Drosophila melanogaster: one gene and its partners. The protein of the gene in region 1 interacts with the protein of each later gene in a biochemical or structural test. Each region holds a gene or a part of one and is shown on either strand. Other genes may lie near its edges. The genes, in order: trr, EcR and usp.

Evidence for each region.
Region 2: the proteins of trr (region 1) and EcR form a complex in vitro, tested with the Drosophila melanogaster proteins (one study listed by BioGRID).
Region 3: the proteins of trr (region 1) and usp form a complex in vitro, tested with the Drosophila melanogaster proteins (one study listed by BioGRID).

What each region holds. Positions count from the first base shown.
Region 1 is NC_004354.4:1,884,825-1,893,208, forward strand, and holds the start of trr (trithorax-related), read right to left. Parts: upstream 5,127-8,384; 5' UTR 4,952-5,126; coding exon 1-4,951. Other genes in the region: mRpL16 (mitochondrial ribosomal protein L16), read left to right, coding at 5,523-5,571, 5,654-5,719, 5,789-6,405; arm (armadillo), read right to left, coding at 7,006-7,295. UniProt on the Drosophila melanogaster protein: Histone methyltransferase that acts as a coactivator for the ecdysone receptor during development. Specifically trimethylates 'Lys-4' of histone H3, a specific tag for epigenetic transcriptional activation.
Region 2 is NT_033778.4:6,125,193-6,133,727, forward strand, and holds the start of EcR (ecdysone receptor), read right to left. Parts: upstream 6,650-8,535; 5' UTR 5,926-6,649; coding exon of another isoform or gene 5,874-5,925; intron 1-5,873. UniProt on the Drosophila melanogaster protein: Receptor for ecdysone. Binds to ecdysone response elements (ECRES) following ecdysone-binding, and recruitment of a complex containing the histone methyltransferase trr, leads to activate transcription of target genes.
Region 3 is NC_004354.4:2,035,755-2,043,952, reverse strand, and holds usp (ultraspiracle), read left to right. Parts: upstream 1-1,641; 5' UTR 1,642-1,906; exon of another isoform or gene 1,907-2,085; intron 2,086-2,308; 5' UTR 2,309-2,492; intron 2,493-2,566; 5' UTR 2,567-3,039; coding exon 3,040-4,566; 3' UTR 4,567-5,155; downstream 5,156-8,198. Other genes in the region: CG4325 (uncharacterized protein), read left to right, coding at 226-347, 540-894. UniProt on the Drosophila melanogaster protein: Receptor for ecdysone. May be an important modulator of insect metamorphosis. Plays an important part in embryonic and post-embryonic development. Binds to ecdysone response elements (ECRES) such as in the promoter region of s15 chorion gene.

The DNA of each region.
Region 1 (8,384 bases):
CCCGCAGCACGCCGGCTATGTTCTCCGATGCCGAGGCGGGCAGTGCGAGTATCACATTCTGGTTCTTCTGCTGGTAATTGTTATTATTATTATTGCCCAGCGGTCCCATTCCCAGCTCCATCTGCTGTGTCTTGCGCAGCTCTTCGCCGCAGGATCGAAGCAGTGGAGACACGGGAAAGCGCATGGTCAGCGGATCCTCCGGCAGTGCGACCGGCGACATCCGTCCATGGCAACGGCTGTTTCCATTGAGCAGTATTAGACCCGGATAGCGGGTAAGTCGTGGAAGAGTCGCCCACGCAGCTACGCCCTCGCTCTCCACCAGGTCTACGGTCTCCAAATTGCAATCCTTGACGGCTCCAATGTGCCGCACCAGGCGTTCCCTAGGATTGCGCTCCATATGCGTGGAGAACTCCTGGTCATAAAAATCATTTTGGATGCTAGACATTGGTAGCATCTTTTCTGCTCCCGGAGACTCTGCTGGCGAGGGTGAACGGGTTCGTGCAGATCCACCAACTAGACCTCTACTTCCGCCAAAGCGTTCGCTATCGTACAACGAGGGTATCCCTGGCAGATTCACTCGACCATAGCGGCCGAGAACGGTGCCATCACAGTCCTCCAGACCTTCCAAATGCCTGCTCAGTGGCCAGCCTCGAGATCCGCCCTTCAGCTTTCCTCCTCCAGCCGATGATGATCCGGCAGAAGCCGCAGAACTCATTGAGGCGGGCGAACCACCTCCAGAAGTCTCGTTGCTCCCGATAAGAAAGTGAAAGTTGCGATTGAGATGCGGCTCCAGAACTTGAAGCGGCTGCATTTGGCGGATGTGCGTCAGCAACTTCTCGGTAAATGCATCGTGATCCTCTTCTACCTTGGAGAACTTGCGAACCCGCTTCTTGAGCATGGGCGAGGAACTGGCTCCAGTACTGGCGCCCACTCCTCCCAAAGTAACTCCTTGTCCGGTACTGGTGATCACATGACCAGTCCCTGATGCCGCGCCTTGTATGTACTGGGTCCCCGGCGGCATTCCTGCCAGTTGGACCATTGCACCTGCCGGTAGTGGACCTGTTAGATCCTTAAGAGCTCCACCCGCTTGTCCGGCGTTCAGATTTGTGCGCCTCGGCTTCTGGACCTCACGTTTGCGGCGCTTCCTTTGGTCGCCTGCCTTGCTCTCCATGGTGGGCACGGGGATGGGCACTGCACCCTGTCCAGTAACTGGAAGGGGAATCGTCGCATTCTGTGGTTGGTTCTGGTGCAGTTGCTGCTGCTGCTGCTGTGGATGAACTGCCATATGGAGCTGATGCTGTACTTGCAAATGCATTTGAGCGGGTATCTGTCCAGCGGCATGTCCGGAGATTTGTCCGGACATCTGCCCAGACAGGTGTCCTTGCATAGTCGCCTGCATTTGCGCCTGCATCTGCACCTGGCCCTGGCTCTGGTTCTGGATGGGTTGTGCCTCGTTCGGGACACCGGATTTCTTTACATAAGTGGCAATCGCTGAGATCAGCTGTACTTTGTCGGGAGTACCTTGTCCAGTCGGAGTTGTTGGTAGGGAGGTGCTTATGGGAATCTCTGCCTGTTGCTGGATCTGCTTTTCGTCCAGTTGTGGGTGCATGGGGAGCTTGCGTTTTTGAGGCTCTCCAGGCTTGAACGGTATCTTTGTGGTGGCTACACCTCCTTCTAAATGGTTATTGGTCCATTGCGCAGACACAAGGGGACCTCCGGAGTGAGGTGCAACTCCCGCTGCAGTAGCTCCCTGTTCCGAATGAAGCGGCGGCTCCGCTTGCTCTGGCAGCGATTCGTCGCCCTGCTCCATGGGTAGTGACATAGCTACCGCCTTGGGCTTCATCTGCAGTTCCTTCGGAGCCGCTTGTTTGGTGGATATGGATATGGTGACGTTCGATATAGGAGCAGTGGCCATTTCGTAAGGCGGAGGAGGTAGTAGTTCAGCCGGCTTCGAAGTGGCTTCCGTCACTAGTGTTTTAGCAGCAACGGGTCCTGAGATGAACGACGTCTCCTTCGACACAATCTGCACAGTCTGCTTGACTTGGTGGGGTGACGGTTGCAGCTGCTGCGGCTGGTGTAGTTGCTGCTGCTGCTGCTGCTGTGGTGGCGGTGGTGGTGGAGGCGCCTGGTTTTGGCTCTGATTCTGCATAATTGCTGCTGGCTGATCGGATTTCTGCTCCAGCTTTGCCTCCCCTCCCACTCCTGGTGTGGTAATTGCGACCGCACTAACAGGTAGAGCCGTCGCTGAGGCGGTGGCTACCTGTTGGCTGCTTCCTCCGCTAGCTACTGTTGTGGTGGTGGTGGACGTGGCCACAGATCCACTGCTACTACTACTACCTGCCGCCTGCGTGGCAGTGGGCACCGGAGGAATCACCGGACGTGCCAGTTGATCCTCCAAACTTCTGACCTTCCCCATGCTGGGCGCCCGTACGTTGATAACCTTGCGGGCGGAAAGAGGTGCCGAAGCTGAGGCGGAACCAACGTGAGCCGAAGTGATGCTTATCTGGTTGAGGCTATGACTGCTGCTGTTGTTTTGGAGCAGTTGCTTTAGAAGTGCATTATCCTCCGCTGCCGAGCGTTGGTTGTTCATAGGTGTGGCGTTCACTGTAGGATTGGGTGTGCTGGGATTCGAGGCAGTTGAGGTAGATGTGGCCATTTGAATTTGATTGGCGGACTGATTTTGAACCTGGTTAATAGCCGTCATTGTGGCATTGGCGTTCAAACGCTTCTCCGGCGTGCCGATCTCCTCAGCCCGCTCCTCACTGGTCGGAGTACCAGTGCTATCCTTCACAACCGCCTCCTGTTTGACCAGTAGCTTTGCTTTAGATTCGCTGCCAACTTCTTCCAGCTTGACTACGTCCGGAGCCAGACTAACGCTGAGTTTGGTGGGCGTATTGGCGGTCGTTAGTTTCAGCTGCATTGAAGCTCCCGAGGTAGCTGATCCGGAGTTTGCAGAAGATCCCGCCTTGTCTGCACTAGAATCCTGAATCAAAGCATGATGCATCTGCAGCGCCGCCTGACTGGACAACGTGGTTGTAGTTATCATCTTCGGTTTTTGCTGGGCCATGGTCGTCTTGGACAGCACCAGGGATATGTTCTTGTTCTGAATGGAGATTATTGGCCGCGTGCCCATCATCGGACTGTTTATGCAGATGGTCCCCGCCGAAACGGAAACGGTGGAGGTGGTGGCCAGATCTGAGGCATTCCCCGAAGCCATGGTAAACGTCACGGGTGTGCCTGCTCCACTGCCTACCGCGGAGATTGATTGGCTTTGAGCAGCCTGTGAGTGCTGCTGCTGCTTAAAGATGTTAAAGCTGGGTGGACAATTGAGTGTATTCTTGTCGAGCGGCTTAATCACCACGCTGTTGATGTTGGTGAACTCCTCCGGGCCTCCAGTCGATTCCTGGGACTTGCTCTTGTTGAGAATTTTTTGAAGGTTCTCCGAGTAGGCTGTAATCTTTCGAGGCGCTGGCGCATCGTCTTCCGAATGGGCCGCAGGTCCCACAGTTGCGGAATCCTGAACCATTGCGTACGTTTGGCTGGGGTTGGTGGTGGTGATAGTCACTATGCTGCCTGTGGGCGGAGCCAGGCCTCCACCACTGGTCACCTGCAGCTGCTGAAGCTGCTGCTGCTGTTGGATCTGTTGTTGGTGCTGCTGAAGTTGCAGCATCTTTTTGCTCACCACCTTGGTGGCCACAATTTTGGTGTTCGCCGGCTTGATCTGTAGCCCCGAAAACGAGACAATGGTGCCGCTATTTTTTGGCCCGCGTTTGATAAGTTTGGTAAAGTTGTGATGTGCATGAGAATGGACGTGCGGGTGGACCTGCTGACCACCGCTTTGCTGCGCAGCACTCATTACGGTAGTCACCTGACCGCCCGGCTGCAGCAGTTGCTTGCTCTCTACAATCGTGGCTCCTCCGGCTGTGGCCGCTCCACTAGCGCTCATCAGCGGCTTGAGCAGCGGCACCGATATAGTCTTGTTGCCAATCGACACTTTCGCCGTGGTCTGCGTTACTTCCGACAGCTTCTTGGCGTTAACCATCAGCTGGGTTTTCATCTTGGGGTGAAGATTCACCCGGTTTAACAATGTTGTAGTGGGCGTTTGGCTACCAGTGGCCGTGGTATTGAAGATGTTGTAGTTCGTGTGACCGGATTTCTGTGTGAGGATTGTAGTGGTGCCGGCTCCACTGACTCCTGCCGTTCCGTTGTTAGCGTTTAAAATAATGGTGGAGGTAGTAGCTCCAATAGGCGTTCCTGCTGGTGTTCCCGTTCCGGTGGAGTTACCCACAGATGTAGAGCTATCCGCGCCGCTGGCTGGCATCAGTACGTAGTCGAGGTCCTCAGATTTGCCGGAGTTTTCAGCATGATCCTGCCCCGAGCCACTGGGCTCGATGGAAATGACGGACGCGGTTGACGATGATGACGAGGCCGACGATGAGGCACCCTCCTTTTTGGTAAAGCTGGTAAAGGCTGTGTTTCGGTGTAGCAAAGGGTTAGATTGACTGTTCCTTGGAGTGCTGATTCTGTACTCACTCTGCTTGTCAGCGTCCTCCGCCTTGATGGCACCCATCTCAGTGCCGGAGCCGAAGTTGCACACTATGATCTGCTGATCGCGGGCGTCCCAGACGCCGTCCGCCGTCTCGACATCCTGCGGCTCCGACGCAGCTTTTACCTGCGCCTTAGCCTGCTGTCCACTCCGCTGGTAGAGGAGCTGCTGCGGCGCGGTGCTCGACGCTTTGGCGGGCAAACTGGGCGCTGCCGTTCCAGTTCCGAGAAGCAGCTCCGTCTTGGCCTTCTTGCGCGTGGGATCCTCCGCCGGAGTGGCGGTGTCGTCGCCGCTGCGCTTCTGCAGGCTGACCGCATTGAAGGCAGCGGCGGCCACGGATGCTACTCTTTCGGGTTTCGCCTTTTCGGCGGCACCAAGCGATGTTGTCACCTTCGGTATATTCATAACAAACACACAAGTGGAAACGCGGAACGCCGGATGCGATGCGCTGCGTTTCGTGGGACGGGAAGGGCGGCGGTCTAGCTAGCTAGGGCTCGCGCGGCCTGCTTTTTTTTTTACCGAGCGAAAACATGCACGATTAGTCAAAAAAATTTTATTTTCGTGTATGCAGAGCAGTGTTACCAGATGGTAAAACGACCATTACCCTGAAACGTTCTTACCCATCCCTGGTTTTCCACTCAGAAACCCACCACTTTTCCCATCCCATTTCAACATATCGCCATGGCGGTTGCAATCGAATAACGTTTGTACAGCAATCATTTTTCGTTAACTTCAGAAGTTTTTAATACATAACATAATTATTGTGTTCCACGTGCAATATGGCACATTTTCAACTGCAAGAATAAACCATAGTCTGGACAGGGCCGTCAGCTCACTCGACCAATCGGTGGTCTATCGATATATGTTTTTAGCACCACATTTATTAGCTCGATCTGGCAACGGTGGCCGTTGATGCAACACATCTTTGCACAATACAATTTTATAAATAAGTAATATATTTTGACATAAACTCACCATGCTCTCATTAAAGTTAGTCTCCCAGCTCTTTAAGCAAAGCCTTGCGTGTAAGTTGCAGTGGCGCTTCCTGCCTAGCCACATCCAATCCGATAACAGTTTGCAACAAACCACTTAAACTTTTCTTTGCAGCGGGCAACATGGCAATTGTCAACACAGCCGGTCTTAAGTATTTCGCTCCGCCTATTAAATACCAGAGTAAGTAGTTGCATTTAAATGTGCACAATGAATTTAGAGCAATAAATGAATGAATGTGGGAACCCCCAGATGTGGAGCAGCCGGAGAGACCCAAGCTGAGGGTCATTGAGCGCCAGCCCCAGCTGCCGCCAAACATCCGTCCGCCAAAGATGCAGAAGCGCCTGCGATACATGCGCGGTCCGGAGATGGTGCACAACACGCTGCTCCATAAGCAGTACGCAATCGTGGCCACTGGCGGAGGGCGCCTGCGCTGGGGCCACTACGAAATGATGCGTTTGACCATCGGACGCAAGATGAACGTCAACACTATGTTCGCCACATGGCGCGTTCCCGCACCCTGGCAGCCGATCACTAAGAAGGGCCAGGGCCAACGGATGGGCGGCGGAAAGGGAGCCATCGACCACTACGTGACCCCCATCAAGGCCGGTCGCGTCATTGTCGAGATAGCCGGCAAGTGCGAGTTCGTTGAGGTCAAGCAGTTCCTGCAGCAGGTGGCCAACCAGCTGCCCTTCCAGGCCACCGTCGTTTCCCAGGAGATGCTCGACGAACAGCGCGTCGCCGAGGAGGAACAGACCCGCCAGAATGAGAACCCCTTTACCATGAAGTACGTGATCCAGAACAACCTCAGCGGCTGCCACCGTTGGCTCTCGCCCGTGGACCACAAGTGGTTCGGCAAGCACCTGTAGATGTATAGCTTCAATTAATAAAGCCATCCTTCGTTAATCTGTTACGAAACTGTTTCAAGTACTTTTGAAAACTGGAAATATCTTAAAGTAGGTTCGAACTTCGAACTTAGGGCTCGTTGTTCCAAGCCGTGACTCTGCGGCACCCAATTGTGGAGCAAATAAGAAAAACGCCATATGAAGGGAAATGTACGAGTTCTATTGCAAACATTTGTTTAATTTTCCATTTCGTTTACGTGGGTAATATGTAATGCATCATATAATATGTTTTTCTTGCCGTTTCGTTCGCATTATAATAAATGTATAATATTATGCATGTATGCGTGTGTGTATGCTTTGTCGCGGGGTATGGTGTGTGAGCAAATAGCCTTCTCCCACGGACTTCAGTTCTGGAAGCAGAACTTTGACCTGCCGCAGCTCCTCGTATTTGTCAAGTAAAATCCACACCTTCGTTGATCTAGTCAAGTTTCGGTGATCGCGATTCCGGGATCCGGGATGGAATCAAAGCCGGTGGAAGAGGGCTATTGTGCAGGGATGGGAATTCGTGTGTTTTATGTTATGGGGTCGAATGGATACTCGACCCTTACCCTTAGCTCGGCTTGTCTAACAATCGGTATCGTACCAGGCAGCCAGGTTGTTGTTGTCATTGGGTGGCGTCGGCATGGCGTCCAAGTCAAAGTTCAATGCACCGGCATCAATCTCGCCAACGTCCATGTCCATGGAATAGGGCGAAGTTGGTGCGCCGCTAGGCGGAATGGCGCCGATGTTACCACCGCCGCCGCTAGCTCCGCCTACAGCTCCACCATTGCCGGGAGCACCGCCAGCACCGCCGCCGCCCACTGGGCTGCTGATCTCCAGACCCTGCATCGAATCTATTGGTAGAGTATCATATCCTGTGAACAAACGAGATGGGCAAAGAATGATAGGGAATATTGTGATTAGTGGAGAGGATTTACAATCTCCGCCAGCCGTCAACTGGCAGATGGTGCGACACCTTGAAGTCCTGCAAAAGTGGATTCACTGCTGCTCGCTTTAATCGGGAACTCATCTAAAATGCATCTTTCCAACACACTTATTGGATTTATGCCGATTCAAACGAAATGCAGACTCCACTCGTACACGACGACCCTTTAACATTAACCTAGAGTATCAAACAACAAAAATCTGTCGTTGAATACTGCTTAAAAAGAACTAAATACGTCTAAAATACGACACGACATGGACGCGTTATTGTCGATTGGAATTCGTCCTCTGAAACTTGCATGCACACACGGCTTACAAACTAGATACGAGTATATACACCATAAAATATATGGATTGTGGGTGGCTAAAACTATGCGATTATCGCAGGCTACGTGACATGCAGTATGAACCGAAATAAAGTTTATTACTGCTCCTTCATGGAGGGAGACCTTAAAGATAAAAGCCGTCTAATGAAAGGAAACAAAATAGATTTATACAAAACAATAAATTTGCGAAATTATCAAAGAAACGTATGTGTTTCTTTACTATTCACGATCCTTATTTTTTAAGGTTGCACTCTGTGGTTATTTGTGGTAGATCGGTGTTCGTGTGTGTGTGTAGTGCAAAAATCTTCAAGCTACGTGTAAAGTCCGGAGAGATAGATATTCTTTTCCAAATGTGAGAGAGCAGGGGAAGTAATCCCGCAAAAGACTGAAGTTTATCCCTATTATCCCTTATTGACATAATTGGCGCCCAATGTCGGGCATCGGATGCACAAGATTTGGATTTATCGACAAATGTTTGTATACCGCAAATGGAAACAGGCGGAGTTATATTCACTTCCTTCGCATGCAGCCGTGGAACTCAAGGGTTTAACGATATTAGGGGGTAACGAGCAAGGAGACAGAGATATTGAGATCAAGCGAGGGAACTGGGTGGAAGAGGGTTTCGCTCACACTGAAGAAACTAAAGTGAGCTTAACGTCTTAGTTTCGATTAACAAGTGCATATTTGAATGAT
Region 2 (8,535 bases), on another chromosome or scaffold:
TCTGTAACTTTTCGTCTCTTTGTGTTATAAGGCAGTAAAACTGGTTTTAAGCCGTACTCATGCGCCAAAGAGCAAGCGAGACAAGGCGAAAGCTTAGAAAAATCGAAAAGAATCTCGATCAAGCGCGAAATGAAGAACAAGATGAATCGCGAAGAAGCAGTCAGAATAAAAAGGAAAAGAAATGAAAAGAAAAGGGAAGACTAGTCTAAGCTCGCTCGATTGAAGGGGGAGGGCGGAGCACTGAGCCGAGATTTTGGCCCGCATTAAGGAAAAAACCTGTCGCCATCGCTGCCAACGTCGCTGCCGGCAGAATTCGTCGAGCAACAACACAAAAACAATGCAAACAGGTTGTTCTTTGCCGTTTTTGCTTTGTTGTCTACAAAAATATTTCTGAAAACATCGGAAGAAGCAGAGACGGAACGCGTATTTATCGCATTCGGAATATACTACACACATTATATATGTATGTACATACAACATACATATATATTGTATTGTGTATATGAGCGGGATGCGCTGCGATACACATGCGTACGCGACATTTATGGCATTTTTGTTGTGTCGTTGGGTTTTTGTTGATGTTCTCTGTTGCGTTGCCACTTTACTTTTGCCCACTTTACTTTTCTGGGGTTATCCCTGTTTTGTGTTCTGCCTCTGGAGTTCAGGTTGAAGTACAAACGACGTCAAAAAGCCAAACGCGCAGACTCAGATAGCTTTACGCTTCTCCAGCTCGCTGTTCGTATTTTAGTAATACGAACCAAACAGAACGGAAAATTCTGCCAGCAGAAAAATTCGTTACGCCTCGAGTGATGGATTTGAGGAATGGTGAGCCAGAAAACGGAGAGGAAGGTAGGCGCGTACACCTCTATTTATAGAATCGTAAAAGTAAAAAGTTCAGAGTAATGGGAACTTCAGTAGCCAACAGGTTCCACTCACGTTCATGTATTGGTGCCAACAAAGCTCTGATAATATCTGAATTGGATCTGCGGTCAATTAACTCGGAAATAGTTATGCAAATTTTTAGAAGTTGCATCTTAATAAATTAAATAGGTCTCTTTCAGGCAAGATGCTTTGTTGGAGATCTTGAAGGAAATTGTTAGCACCATATGGTGAATTTATTTTAAAACCCGAAATTAAGAACTACTCATTTTCTTGAATCGAAGGCAAGTAATTCTTTCTAAAAATTCCATTGATTCCTAACTCAACCCCTTAACCCCGAAAACTTGACTGACCCCTGATTATTGTTGGGATAACCCGGTGGAACGTTTCCTCTGCAAAAGTATGTCAATGACTGGCACGCGAAGCCCGATGGTTAGGAGTACCCCACACCACACACCCTCTCCTACTCCACGTCCTTTCCTTATCCAAGCTTTATTAACAATTGTTGTACACGCTACTGAAATCAATGGGTGGTGGTCAAATAAGCTTGTGGTAGTGCCGCCTGCTCTGGTAGGGCGAAAACAATTAAACATCCGTTCCCGGCTTGTCCAGTAGGAATACAATAATAGGCCCACCAACACAAATCCACATCAGCACACTCACACAAGCAAATGAGGAACGAATACTTCTGCGAGCGGATCCTTTTAATTTCCTGCTGTTATTTTCCTTTTTTACGTAAAACCAGCGCCGCGTGATTTCCATTTGCTGATTCAGAGGGAAAATATCTTACCCTTCCCCCTTTCGAATCTCTAGTAGAGGGACAAGTTGAAGGAGCAAACATATGCGATACATTCCCACAAACTACTCTCTAGATAGAAAGAGAACCAAAGGGCAAGACTACTATGTCGTACAAGAAAACCAAAAAAGAGGGAAGCGAGTGCATCGACTATCAGATACCTGATATTTAACTAACCAAATTTACCTGCTAGCAATGACGGACTTAACTTAACAATATTAACATTAATTAAACAATAATTTATGTACATTAGCAAATAAATGTAACCTTAAAAGTAAAAATGGTGTTGCAGTGTGCCTGGAGTTTTAATAGTCTACATATAATGGCTACCGAAATTCCGATGTTTACACGTGTGATTAAGAAAATAAAACATTAAAGAGCAACAAAATATTTAATATTATTAATTTCTGGATCATAGCCTTAAGTTGTTGAAGACAACATATCCAAATCAAAATAAAAACCAAGCAATACGATTGAGGTCTTAACAAACAAATCAGAATAACTATCGAGAAAATATACATGGGACTGCAAACTTAACGGTTGTTTCTTTCCATATCTCTGTCTCTTTATCACACTACCAGCCCCAACACAATAATAAATTTAACCAAAAACAGGTTGAGCGTTTCATTCCGCGAACTCATTTGGTGAATTTTTAAAAGTTTGCTGATTTGGTTAAACATGAAAAATGGTGCCATTCAATTGACACATATCCAATATTTGGTTTAAGACAAATCCAAAATAAGCTGGTGGAATTCGCTTCAGTCGGAGTCAGTGCGGTAAGTTTTGAGAATACAACTTGCACCGTAAGATTTCAATGAAGTTTTGTTAGCTCTAACAGATTATGAAATTCTATGGCTTCCGTTAGCAATAATTAGAACATTTTTCGATTTCAATTAGTTGGCTATAACATGGAATCTACATTTTGATTAAAAGCTTCTTTAGCTCTGTATTCCTTCAGCTGCTTTGTTTCCCAAGCAGATCTGCTGACGGAGCTAAATATCCCAGAGTTTCCTTTTAATAATTCACATCTTCTTTTGAATTCTATCGACCAAAGTCTTTGCACAGAAAATCAATTAGCAATAAAAGCTATAGAAACTTTTTAATGCCTTGGCCGAAAAAGATTTATAGCATTTCGCGATAGACCGTTTTCGGCTTATTGAGAGCACTTAACAGCAACAGGGCACGCGTTTCAACTAATAGAACAGGAAATAATTGAATATATAACAAATAATATATGAAACTTTGTATGTCCTTAAGACCCATGCGGCTTAATAGCCTTGAAGCATCAAGAAACTAAAAAATAAATAAGATTAATAAGATAATAGGCGGCAAGAGGAAAAACCCTATAGACGAGTCACAGCTGGCCCAAAGTGTAGTAAAACTGGTTAGTGTTGACTGGCCCGGCTTCAAAAATGTGCTTGAATCATTTCCTTTTCCGGTTAGTTGGTGTCTCTCTTCCATTCTGCGGCGTCTACGATTTGCATTTCTAATCAATAACACTAACGGTCTGACCTTTTCGGCAGCAAAGAAGACACATTAAACCCAATATAAAATGACAGCGCATTGTGTCAAACCAGATTCAATACTCATGGTTGACGCTTAGGAAATAATAAACCTCACTAACTGAACTGGATAAGACATTGTTTTAATGAAAATAATTAATTTGAATTGACCAGACATGTTCGGGAAAGATACTGAAAACAACTAACGAAAAACGTTTTTTTTTTTGTGTAATTTTTTGGCATAAGCCATTAAGTTTATTAGTTATAGGGAAAAAGTCAATGCTAAGAATGACAACGCCACAATCCGCTTGCCCCTAAAAAATCTGAACAAGTTTTTCAAGACTTAAACCTTGCTTTATATTACAACTACGTTCATTTTCGCGTTGCTCGGCTAATCTACAACAACAATAAAATTGTTTTGTCTGGACTGTGGAAAGTCATGGAAACTCTCTGTCATTGGCGATTGTCTGCGAAAGTGTTGGCAGCTCGACTTTGTTGCTGGTCTGTGAAAGTCCACAAGAGCGTCGGGGAGAAGGCACAACTCATTCCAAGCTCGATTGCTTTATGGCAGGCTACTCTTAACCGCACATACACAAATTAGGTCCATCCAGACCGAACGGGAAGGAAAACCAGCTAGAAAAGGCTGACAAGATAAGGCACTCAATGCAATTGATACAAGAGCACATACAATGGCACCTGTTTGCCATTTCTGCCATTCCCGTTCCCCATTTCCATCCAGGGGATGAAGAACGGAGTGGTGTTCTGTCTCGTGACCCACTGGTCTGCACCCATTAGTATCGTCGCCCCCAGACGCGGTTACATTGAACCTTTTTAAAGGGGGGTTGTGTGTGACACTTTGGAAACAGTTGTGATATAAAATAAGGTATTTCGATTATCCAGGGTCATTTTAATTCGTGCGGATTTGGTAGTCATAATTGTTGTTATGTCTGTGGTAGGACTTTCAGAACACTAAGCAGATCTTTTGATCGTTTCCATTTGCTTGTATAATTTCTTCATGTCAAAGTCATTTAGCTAAGAACCCCAAACTATTGTAAAAATGCATAGAGGGTTCGACATAAAAGCACTGGTAACTCGGTTTTCTCAGCCTGGGCGAAGCCACAACACTGAATCCCATGTATAGACATACATGTGTCTATATATTTGCATAAAATCGCATTAAAATTTGCCATTTGGCCACTTTAATGTCCCATAAAACATAAACAACAGCAGCGAAGACGAAGTTGTCGACGCCATAGGATATAAGTTACTTTTTTTGTGCTCTTTGTTTGTGTCCAGAAAGTGTAGCAAAGAAGAAATAGCGAAAAACTTAATGTGCAAAAAGCAGTTGGAAAAGAGAATCTTTAGTCGAGTGCTTCGACTAAAAGATACCCGCTAGCACGTTTAAAACTAAATCTACAATTCTGAATTATGTGCATCCTGTAGAGGAATTTCATTTAAAAACCCAGCTTAGGGCTTTTGAGCTTATTCGAATTTCTAGGAGCTTTAGATTGGACTTGGCCGAGACTAAAAATAAACTTGCACAGCTCAGTCATCGTTAGAACTTAAATGCTGTGTGAGTAAAGGGTATCAAAAAACAGAGCCATGAAGTCGAAAGTTTAACCAGACCCGCCCAGGAAACGAAGGCCAACGGGTGGCGGTAAGTCTGTGTCGTCGGGGGGATGGAACAAATTAATTGTGGGAGAGTCAAACTAATGTTGGGGACTTTACTGGAACCTAAGCGCAAACCTAATGCTGTTACCTAATGCCTCATTAGGCGCTTTAAAATAGGGAAGCCCAAGCGCACAAGAGGACTCGCCTTATAATGTATAATAATATATCGCAGTACCTATTAAACAATATACCAAAAATAAGATAAATAAATACTACACATTTATTGTAGAATTGAACATTTAACAATTGAAGTCATTGGATCCAAAAAGTGAAGTCTCTTCAGACGAACAGCATTTACATGTTCCACAATTTTACCTTCTCCAACACGATTCAAGTGCCCAATCTGTATCGAATCATTTTTGAGCGTTCTTTCGGCACTTAATAAATCGAATACGTTTTACACCGAATTAAACCTTATCAACAGAATATATGTGAAAATCAGAGTAAATCTGTTGGCTGAATTCACTGAATGCCCACTTGAATTTATGGAAATACATGCCAATTACGCAGTCGAGTGCTTTCCTAGACCGACATGCACATATTCGTCTACACCGGGGATCTATGGTGGCCCGAAAGAGGCTTGATTATGTTTACGCAGGCGAAATACACAATTTTCAACGTTCTGTCTTGACCGTCTGTCAGTTGTCATGACCATAATTAATGTATTGCCAATCGAACCCCCATCCCAAGCATGTGTATCTTTTTGGGACATCATAATGTCTGTATGTACAGCATGTATTCAGCTATGCGAACATATGATCTGTGTATCTTGGCATTGAAAAGATCTAATGGTAATGTAGTTTTCATTTCGGCTGGATGAATAAGAAATGGAAATTGATTTTGCGCACGCGAAGTGACAAGTGCGCCAAGACAAACACATTAGGGCCTGAACAAATCGAAAATAGTTTTCGGCTCCGAACAGCGAACTTGTTGCCTAACTCAGATCTTTCGTTAAGCAGTTGACCACAAAATGTTGTTATGGAAAAGCGCTTGGTTCTATTGGATTCCAAGGTGCCCACACTCACCATATGCGTCGATATAGTGCGCCAGTTCTGCTACTAATCCACAAGTATCCATGGGCCCACTGCGTATTTGAACAAAAGGTATTCCAGTTGACAAAGCACTATTTGGAATGTTGAGTAAAATCTTTTCACTACCTTTATATATATGTAAGGGGATCGGGATCCACGGCACAAATCCCTCACTCACTCGCGCACTATCTTCGATATATGTACATATGTAATATTGTGGATGCGGAAAAAGTCTCCGGCTCCTGGCAAAGCGGAGCTAGCGTTCCACAGACCACGACTAGACGGGCGTCTTATGTCTGTGTGTCACGTTGCTGATGTTTGATTTCGAGTTCTGGCTTCGTTGTTTCCTATTTACATTTCGATACCGCTGTATTCCCTCAGCCGCAGTTTGCACTATGCAGCCGCCATATAATATCTGTACAAATATGAATATATGCTCTCGATTTGCGTTATTTTAAGAACTATTTCCTTTTGCTTCTTCACCACTTATGTATGTATTTTTACTATTGTTTGAGTTTCAGCTACAATGCATTTGCACTTTATATTAATTTTTGCCGATGAATTGCACTTGTGTTTGTTGCGGTTGTTGGGGGAACTGGTATTATTTGGGATTTGTCTAACAATTTTTCATAAATATATGTAGGTGTATATGTGATTTAAACATTATTTGGTTACAACATTTTGGGGGTTTTCGGTTTTGAAATGTAAGGTGCTTTGGGAAACCGTACTGTTAGGTTGTCGTTTTCAATTGTGTGTGCTGTATTTTGTATCTTGTTTTTTGACGAACGCGATCGGGCTTCGTACGTGCGAGCGAACAACCGTTAACAACAAAGTCCAAAAAAATACTAAATCAATGAGCGAGACGAGCAGAATGTTAAACGCTCAAACTCACCACACTGGCACGCACACCAAAGTAAACTCACCAGACACGCACACCATGGCGCTAAAAGAGCGAGAGTTAAAAGCGGAATCGGCGCTAAAGATAAATGTGAAACGCAGGCAGCACTCACTCACACAGCCACAGACACACACTCTGAGCAAGCGGCTTGAATGAAAATGCCGATGCAATTGCAATCGTGGAATACTCTTTGTCCGCTCTCCGGCACGTATCTGTGAGTTGTGTGCGAGCGTATATGGCCGTGTATGCGTGAGTATGAGTGCCATCATCGCTTTCATTTCTTGCTGCTTTATTTTCGGTTTTCTACATTTATTTATTGTTTTTTTTTTTCGTTCGTTTTCGTTCATCGCTACTTTCGGGTGCACAAGTGCAAATTCACACGTATGTACGTACATTTGAAATATTCTCGCATAGTGGGACGAAAGGGTCCATAATAAATCGGAAGGAGTGCCACAACTTGCAATAATTAAAAGTAGGATAAGTTGAAATATTTAGCTTAAATTACAGTCTCTCTACTTCACCTTTTCGATACATTCCAAGTTTTATTTTCAATAATCTCTAACATCAATTGCATTTTTCAGTGTCCCTTTAAACTTTATTATTTGAATACATATATGTAGCAAATATCTCAACAAGAAAACAATGAAAACGTTTCATGTGGCCAAAAATACTTTCTCACGTCAGCTGAATGAATAATAAATAAGATCGAGTTAGAAAACCATAGAGAGTCCTCCGAAGGACTGTTTTCCATTCGTTGGAAGGGAAATCCACCTGAAGTCAGTAGACACCGCTGTTTGAAGCAGAATATTGACACTACGAGACGTAATTGACGGAAAGGAAAAAGATCACCAGGAGGGTAAACAGAACGCAGATCAAACTAACAGCCACAACAGTATCTATGAGTATGTACGTATGTATACATACACATACACGTATCACCGCCGTCTGCTGGGCGACGTATAAATTGCACGTTTCGAATACATTGTGGTTAAAAAGTCAGCGCAAAGCGAGCTGAGATACTCAGATACAGATACGCACACATCGCTGCAGATAATTGTTTGCCCATCCCTTCCCCCCACCACCAGCCCCATCATTCGAATCGCTACGTATTTACTTAACGTCGCTGTGTGCGTTGAGTTGACGCTGGGCAAGTTCAAGTGTAGAATGCAATAGAGAATTGCATTTGCCAGAGCGAGAGAGACGACCTCGCTCTCTACGCATACGCATAGAAAAGCCGGCAAAATGCAAGGGCAAGGTGGTGCGGGACTGTGGGGGTGGTCGTACTGACGGTGACAGTGGTTAGCATGTGGTGAGTTTCGCTCTGTTTGGGGTTGGCTAGACACATTGAACCACAAAAGTTCAAGATGAAAACACAAAATATCAACAATGACAGCTGAGTAGTGGGGACGGCAGCGGCTTGGTGTCGGGGGCGTGAAAGAGACTTTGCCTCTCTCTATCTCTTCCTATGTTTCTCTACTTCTATTTGTTTGGGTATACCAATACAAACACAGCTGCAACCCATAACTGCGTCTATGATGATTTTCTTCTCTTTCGTCCTTCCCCACATTCTCCACTCCTCCACACGTCTCGTTCCCCTCTCCTCCACTATCCTTTTCCCTCTTGGCCGACTGCCAAACGACTCTCAGTTCAGTAGTACACTGGAGCAATTGCTTAGAGTATGGGTGCAACATGTATCTGTGCTTTCCTATATGTATCTGTGTAGCTGCATGCGAGCGTGAGAGAGTTTGTCTAGCTTTG
Region 3 (8,198 bases), 150 kb from region 1:
GCAGTGCAGGGGAGTGCTCGAGAGGGCCGACGAGTGACGACAAGAGGAGGACCGAGTGGAGTGTACTGTGGCTGCCTGGACGCTTATCAGCAAAACGCTCGATTCAGCGACTTGCATTCATTCAGTCCCCTGTCACCGGCCGAGCAACAATACGGCACAGGGAGATCGAACCTGATTGGATCGGAGCGAATCGAATCGACCTAGGTATAAGTCAACCGGAGCGGAATGGGCCGTAACAACGTCATCTGCACGATCTGCTCGGAGCGGTTTCGCACCTCGGACAATATACAAGCCGGCAGCTGCGGACACGCGTTCCACGAGGACTGCCTAGACCACTGGAGAAAGCAGTAAGTAAAAGTGATCCTAAGGACTTGAGAGCTATAACGAAAATGAAATGTGCCACTGATATAATATTCTAATTTATGCACCAATCAGAAATGAAAATGATACAAAAGTGATTTAAATCAGTGGCAGTGCCCCAAATCTTATCGCCGAGCTCAAACGTTTTGTCTTATACGCGGATTCCGTCTGCTTTGCAGATCAAGGACTTGCCCTATCTGCCGCAGCCAGGATGCCGCCTACTTTCAGCTTTATCTGGACTTTGAGGAGTTTCCGGAAAGTGCATCGGCTCAGGGTGGCAGTTGGGGCGGCCATAATCGGAGCCAAGGTCACAGCAGCAGCAGCAGCAGCTGCAGCAGCAACAACAACAACAGTAACGACAACAGCAGCAGTGACGATTATATTGGAATTATGAGGGAGTACGAGAATCTACTTTACGAGACGGGCGTGTACCGAGAAGAGATCGAATATCTTAACCAGCGGATCGGAGCCCTTACTGTCCTCAATGCTGAACTCAGCAAACTACATGAATGTTCGGATTCGGATGTTGATTAAAAGCCGTAAACAAACAAACGAGTCGCATTTGCTTATCGTACTATTCGCCTGAAAACCAATCAAAACCGAATATTTGCGAAACCGACAGGCAAAACGTAATAAGGCTGAGCTAAACAAAAGAACTCGATACATTTCATTATAAAGGAAGCGGTAGGTACAGGGTTAGCAACTAAAGGGTTTGACAAGATAATAGACCCAAATAGAAATAAATTGTTTAGGGCTGAGGCCCCAAATTGCGATATCAGAAAATTAAACTGATAGAAAATATCACATATTAGTGTATTTTTTGTATACCAATAATCAAATAAATATTAAGAATATATGTCCTGAATGTCAATTTTGATGTGAAAACTCTATTTCCATTCCCTTAAACTGTTTTAAAATAAGCTTCTTAATTTGATAGTGTTAAGCAAATTTTTTTCTATATAAATTTTGAATCTCCCATTTTTGTTCTAAACCGGTATCGAATTTTAAGGCAGATGTTAGGGTGCTCTTGAATTACTGAATCCCTGCTTCTTGGTCATCGCGGAAATTCATTTTTTAGAAATTTACTGCGGTCTAACTATCGCATAAATATATAAAATACATAAATATCCATGACGGATTAATTTTCAGATTTTCTGACCATTAAGCGAAGTGGAAACAGCCTATAATGTGCCATTGTTTTTTACCGAACCAAGGCAACTCACCGCGACAGTATACTCACCACAGACAAACCAGTTCTTCGCCCCCCGCAATCGCTTTCTCACCACGCTGTCAGCTGTTGTTTCGCGAAATGCTTCTTCTTGCGAATGCCAATTACCGCGTCGCGTCTCTTTGTGATGATGGGATGGACTCAATTACTACAATTACAATAGAGATTGCAACAAATTAAATCAGCGTCGTGTGGTGTTGTCGTGTCAGTGACGTGCCTGTGTGTGTGTGTGCTCGCGAGCACTGATAACTGATAGCCAAGGAAAAAAGTAAATAAACAACCGTCACCTTGCGGCGCATCAAAAGCCACTGGCTGCAAGTAAGTTGCACTTCCATTTGCATTTCGCCCAATTCTGGTTCCGTTTGGTCTTGGGATTCACGGTTCAGCAGCCTAACCGCTCGATTCTCGGCGACGGCGTTTGCGATTTGAGGCCGAGGTTGCCGCCGGCAGCGGTGAAATTGGCGCACATTCACGTCTCCATTTTGCATTTCTATTCTGCATAATTGCAGCGGCGCTAAATTATTTGTGCACTGTGTGGTTTGCAAGGCGGTGAGGAGGGGAGCCAGACTGACTCAGGGTTGCATGCGCCGTAGGTGCGGTGAGTTTTGCAATGGCGCCGCCAGGGCTGTCGCTACTCCCGTTTTCTGGTTTTCGACTAAATTAATTAATTGATTGATTGCGCATTGGTTATCAAAGTAAAAACACTTATTTTTGCGGCAGGTGCGATGGGCATTAGCGCTTTAATTGGGTCATTAACGCCCACTTAAAACTGTTTCTGTGAGTGGGAAAACAGCCCTGTCCACTTTGTGGTGAATTAGAGATGCGATTGCGCCCAGTCACGAATCCGTGCTTCAATTGGGAGACCGATATATGTACTTATGTCGTGCATTAATTAAAAAGAGGAGTATGTAATTTTATAGATGCGTTATATACCATATGACTTAAGGTAATACCATCGCCGTTGTTAATTTTATACAGTGTTTAACAGTCGTGACTGTGACTCGTGACGACGCAACCTGTGTCACAGTCCATCCCTACGTTGGTGAGTTGCGTCGCTGTGGTGAGATTGTCTTTGTTGAGAAAAAATGTCGACGCGAAAAAAGGTATTTATTCATTAGTCAGAAAGTCTGGCATTCTTTGTTTGTTGGTAAAAAGCGCAATTGTTTGGAGGCGAGCGAATAAAGTGCGCTGCTCCATCGGCTCAAGATTATGTAAATGCAGCAACGACCCCACCAACAACGAAACTGCAACCTGCTCCACTTGGCCCAACGGACCAATAGCGGACGGACGGACACGGTGGCGTTGGCAAAGTGAAACCCCAACAGAGAGGCGAAAGCGAGCCAAGACACACCACATACACACGAAGAGAACGAGCAAGAAGAAACCGGTAGGCGGAGGAGGCGCTGCCCCCAGTTCCTCCAATATACCCAGCACCACATCACAAGCCCAGGATGGACAACTGCGACCAGGACGCCAGCTTTCGGCTGAGCCACATCAAGGAGGAGGTCAAGCCGGACATCTCGCAGCTGAACGACAGCAACAACAGCAGCTTTTCGCCCAAGGCCGAGAGTCCCGTGCCCTTCATGCAGGCCATGTCCATGGTCCACGTGCTGCCCGGCTCCAACTCCGCCAGCTCCAACAACAACAGCGCTGGAGATGCCCAAATGGCGCAGGCGCCCAATTCGGCTGGAGGCTCTGCCGCCGCTGCAGTCCAGCAGCAGTATCCGCCTAACCATCCGCTGAGCGGCAGCAAGCACCTCTGCTCTATTTGCGGGGATCGGGCCAGTGGCAAGCACTACGGCGTGTACAGCTGTGAGGGCTGCAAGGGCTTCTTTAAACGCACAGTGCGCAAGGATCTCACATACGCTTGCAGGGAGAACCGCAACTGCATCATAGACAAGCGGCAGAGGAACCGCTGCCAGTACTGCCGCTACCAGAAGTGCCTAACCTGCGGCATGAAGCGCGAAGCGGTCCAGGAGGAGCGTCAACGCGGCGCCCGCAATGCGGCGGGTAGGCTCAGCGCCAGCGGAGGCGGCAGTAGCGGTCCAGGTTCGGTAGGCGGATCCAGCTCTCAAGGCGGAGGAGGAGGAGGCGGCGTTTCTGGCGGAATGGGCAGCGGCAACGGTTCTGATGACTTCATGACCAATAGCGTGTCCAGGGATTTCTCGATCGAGCGCATCATAGAGGCCGAGCAGCGAGCGGAGACCCAATGCGGCGATCGTGCACTGACGTTCCTGCGCGTTGGTCCCTATTCCACAGTCCAGCCGGACTACAAGGGTGCCGTGTCGGCCCTGTGCCAAGTGGTCAACAAACAGCTCTTCCAGATGGTCGAATACGCGCGCATGATGCCGCACTTTGCCCAGGTGCCGCTGGACGACCAGGTGATTCTGCTGAAAGCCGCTTGGATCGAGCTGCTCATTGCGAACGTGGCCTGGTGCAGCATCGTTTCGCTGGATGACGGCGGTGCCGGCGGCGGGGGCGGTGGACTAGGCCACGATGGCTCCTTTGAGCGACGATCACCGGGCCTTCAGCCCCAGCAGCTGTTCCTCAACCAGAGCTTCTCGTACCATCGCAACAGTGCGATCAAAGCCGGTGTGTCAGCCATCTTCGACCGCATATTGTCGGAGCTGAGTGTAAAGATGAAGCGGCTGAATCTCGACCGACGCGAGCTGTCCTGCTTGAAGGCCATCATACTGTACAACCCGGACATACGCGGGATCAAGAGCCGGGCGGAGATCGAGATGTGCCGCGAGAAGGTGTACGCTTGCCTGGACGAGCACTGCCGCCTGGAACATCCGGGCGACGATGGACGCTTTGCGCAACTGCTGCTGCGTCTGCCCGCTTTGCGATCGATCAGCCTGAAGTGCCAGGATCACCTGTTCCTCTTCCGCATTACCAGCGACCGGCCGCTGGAGGAGCTCTTTCTCGAGCAGCTGGAGGCGCCGCCGCCACCCGGCCTGGCGATGAAACTGGAGTAGGGTCCCGACTCTAAAGTCTCCCCCGTTCTCCATCCGAAAAATGTTTCATTGTGATTGCGTTTGTTTGCATTTCTCCTCTCTATCCCTTATACCCTACAAAAGCCCCCTAATATTACGCAAAATGTGTATGTAATTGTTTATTTTTTTTTTATTACCTAATATTATTATTATTATTGATATAGAAAATGTTTTCCTTAAGATGAAGATTAGCCTCCTCGACGTTTATGTCCCAGTAAACGAAAAACAAACAAAATCCAAAACTTGAAAAGAACACAAAACACGAACGAGAAAATGCACACAAGCAAAGTAAAAGTAAAAGTTAAACTAAAGCTAAACGAGTAAAGATATTAAAATAACGGTTAAAATTAATGCATAGTTATGATCTACAGACGTATGTAAACATACAAATTCAGCATAAATATATATGTCAGCAGGCGCATATCTGCGGTGCTGGCCCCGTTCTAAATCAATTGTAATTACTTTTTAACATAAATTTACCCAAAACGTTATCAATTAGATGCGAGATACAAAAATCACCGACGAAAACCAACAAAATATATCTATGTATAAAAAATATAAACTGCATAACAAGATATATGGTCGTTTTATCTGCGGATCTGCGATTAATCCCATTGTCCACACAAATATATGGCTTTATTTGCGTATATAAGCGGTGCGTTTCAGGACTGTAAGAAGAAATCGAGTGACTTTCTCGAAGGCGGAAATGTATATACATCCATGCCTATTTGCGCGGATGTTTCAATATTTCAGTTTTATTATTATAAATCATACTATGTTCTGTTCCGCCTAACAAGTTTTGTATTACTAGTTAAATTAGTTATTCTGCCGGCCCCTTGGGTGGCTTTCTTTTTTTTTTTAATATATCTGTGATATAATTAGGTGGAGGTAATAAATAAAGTTCACTGCGGAAACTCTTCGAAAATAGCCAGTCTAAATTTAATTCATTTCATTCAAAAGATGATCCCAACGATTTCACGATCTTGTACTTATAATGTGTAAAATGTTAACCAACTAGAAATCCCTTCTATTGTGATTATGAAAGGATCGCTTTTCGCTTTCGAACCGCACTGTACGCCTTGTTCGCGTCCCCTAGGCATTGATTTTTGGTTTGTGGACCATCGCCTGATGGTCCCCACTCCTCACCTTGATGTTGCGGCCTCTCAGATGGCATTTGGTCAATTTTTATAAAATTTATGTCTCAGCGGGAATGTATGTTAGTATGTATTTACAAAAATATGGTATTAACGCACAAGCAGCGACTAAGAATAGATATTGTTTTTGAAAAAAGAACAAAACTCGCCGCTGACGACGCACATTATGTTCTATAAATAGCCAAATTGAGGCTCTATCTCTTTCTATATCGTTGTATCTTATCTGTATATCTCGCCCCAAAGGAATATCTGTAAATTGGGACAAGTCGACGGATACAATACTTAGCCGTCGGAGATCCTGGCTATTTAACATGAACGTATTCTCAGATTCTCCATTCACACAAATGATCTAGAGCTTTTGAAAGCTCCCACACAGAGTGAAAGAGAGGGGTAGAATGTTAGAGAGAGACGGCAGTGTGTCCACACTTATTGTGGGTGGTTTTTATTGGTTTAGCTAATAGCTATCCTTGATTTTGTGTGTGGCGAGCATATTTAATAAATTTCATAAATTTCATCTCTCTCCACCGACAAGAAGAAGCCCACACAAATAGTCCTATGTAGCAGCGTGTTAAAAAATGTGGAATGAAAAATGAAATGTTTCGCACGGAAAAACCATGAAAGCATGCCAATAAAATCATGTGTCCCCTCCCCTCCTCCTCCAAATACCCACCACCATTTCCTTCGACGATTTGCGATTTCGTGTGTGTATTGGAAAAGAGTTTTCGAAGCGAAATTAACAATTTGCTATTTTCGTAGTTATGCGGGGGCGTTTGCCAAAGACCCACGAGGGGACTATGGGTGGATGCTGTCTGAACCGCGGAGACTCGCTGACAGACGAGGAGAAAACCAAGGAGGTGGGGCGTCAGACGCGCTGACGTAGGGGCCAACAAGTTGTTGTCGTCTTCGCATATCGCGCACAGCATACGCCATACAGGGTGCCCCTTTTGAGCTCTCTTACTTTCTTTGCGTTACTTCGTGTCGCCTGCAACTGCATTTTCCTACCAATTTCACTAATGGGCGTCCGTCCGAGAGCTCTCTTCGTCACAGCCGCAGCAAAAGCAAGGGGAGCAGGCAGCACCGCAGCTGCAAATGAGCAAAAAGCAGAAAGAAGGAGTTCGGAACTGGCGATACCCATTGCTTTTAGAAGACAGTCCAATGGCCAGACTATTTGGCTCATACCCAGGTCCTAATTACCTGATCGTTCAACAAACTCATGTTCAGGACATTCGTACATATACGTATATTCATCATAATCAGAATGTATCGGAATTGTGTTGATTTCTAAACGAGACGAGTGAAAGTCCACGAAAGCAGCATGCCCGCACTTCATCGTTCAACTAAAGGGTCCCACGAATCGTACGCTTATGCTGGCCGAATTCATACTTTCTTCTGCCACCCACTCCCACTCCGGCACTCTTGCCGCTCCACTCTTCGTGACTCGGATGTTCGCATGTTCGGATGCTTGGATGCTCGGATGCTTGGATGCTTGGATGCTCGGATGCTCGGATGTTGGGGTCTTCGGCTATGGCAAGCGATCCAAACTGATCCGATTCGATCCGATGCTCCCGCTGCACGGCAGACTTTTCTTCTTCCTCTGCGACGGCTGCTGTGGTGCGGTGGGCGATGTGGGGCAGGTGGGTCGGATGGGGGGGTTGGTGTGGTGTGTGTTGGTGCGCCGACGGCAGCGGCGGTGACTGCGACTGCGACGACGACTGCGACGGTATTCAGAGTTAGCAGCTGGCTGGCGCGACATCAGTTTTGAGTTGGCTATCAACGCGAGCGGGTCTTTCTCTTCGCAAGCGACACACGTAGATATTGCTCCAATTGCTGTCCACACAGATTGTTTTGTTGTTTTTGTTTTTGTTTGGTTCGACTACACACACACGAGTAGATATAGATATATATATGTGTACATATATATATATCTGGCTAACCGACTCACTTGCTTTCGTTATACTCTATTTTCTTTTTTTTTTGGGTTATTTTTTTGTACTTGTTTGAAAAATAAATATAAAAACGAAATATTAAAAAAAACGAGCAAAGCAAAATATAAGTAACGAAAACTGTGCATGTGTGTGAGGTGTGTGTGTGTGTGCGTGCGATGGTTATATATGCCAAACCACATATATCTTTATATATATATATCCGAACAATATGTGCGTATATATGATCTATGTGGAGAGTCAAAGTGCTACCAATAAAAAACTAGACACAATAAAAGGAACGAACCGAGAGTATATCGATCTATATTTACCGGATCAGTTCCGATTTCCGATCCGAATTCGCGCTATTTCTCAAAATTATTTCAAATATGTACCAATCCCGTACCGTCCTTCTCCGCCCCCGGCCCGCCCACTTCCCTTCGCTGCGTTGACGTTGACGCCGAAAATAAAACTTTTTCAAAACATACTATTTTTAACCGATACGATACGATACGAAACGGAACGAGCGCGGAAAACA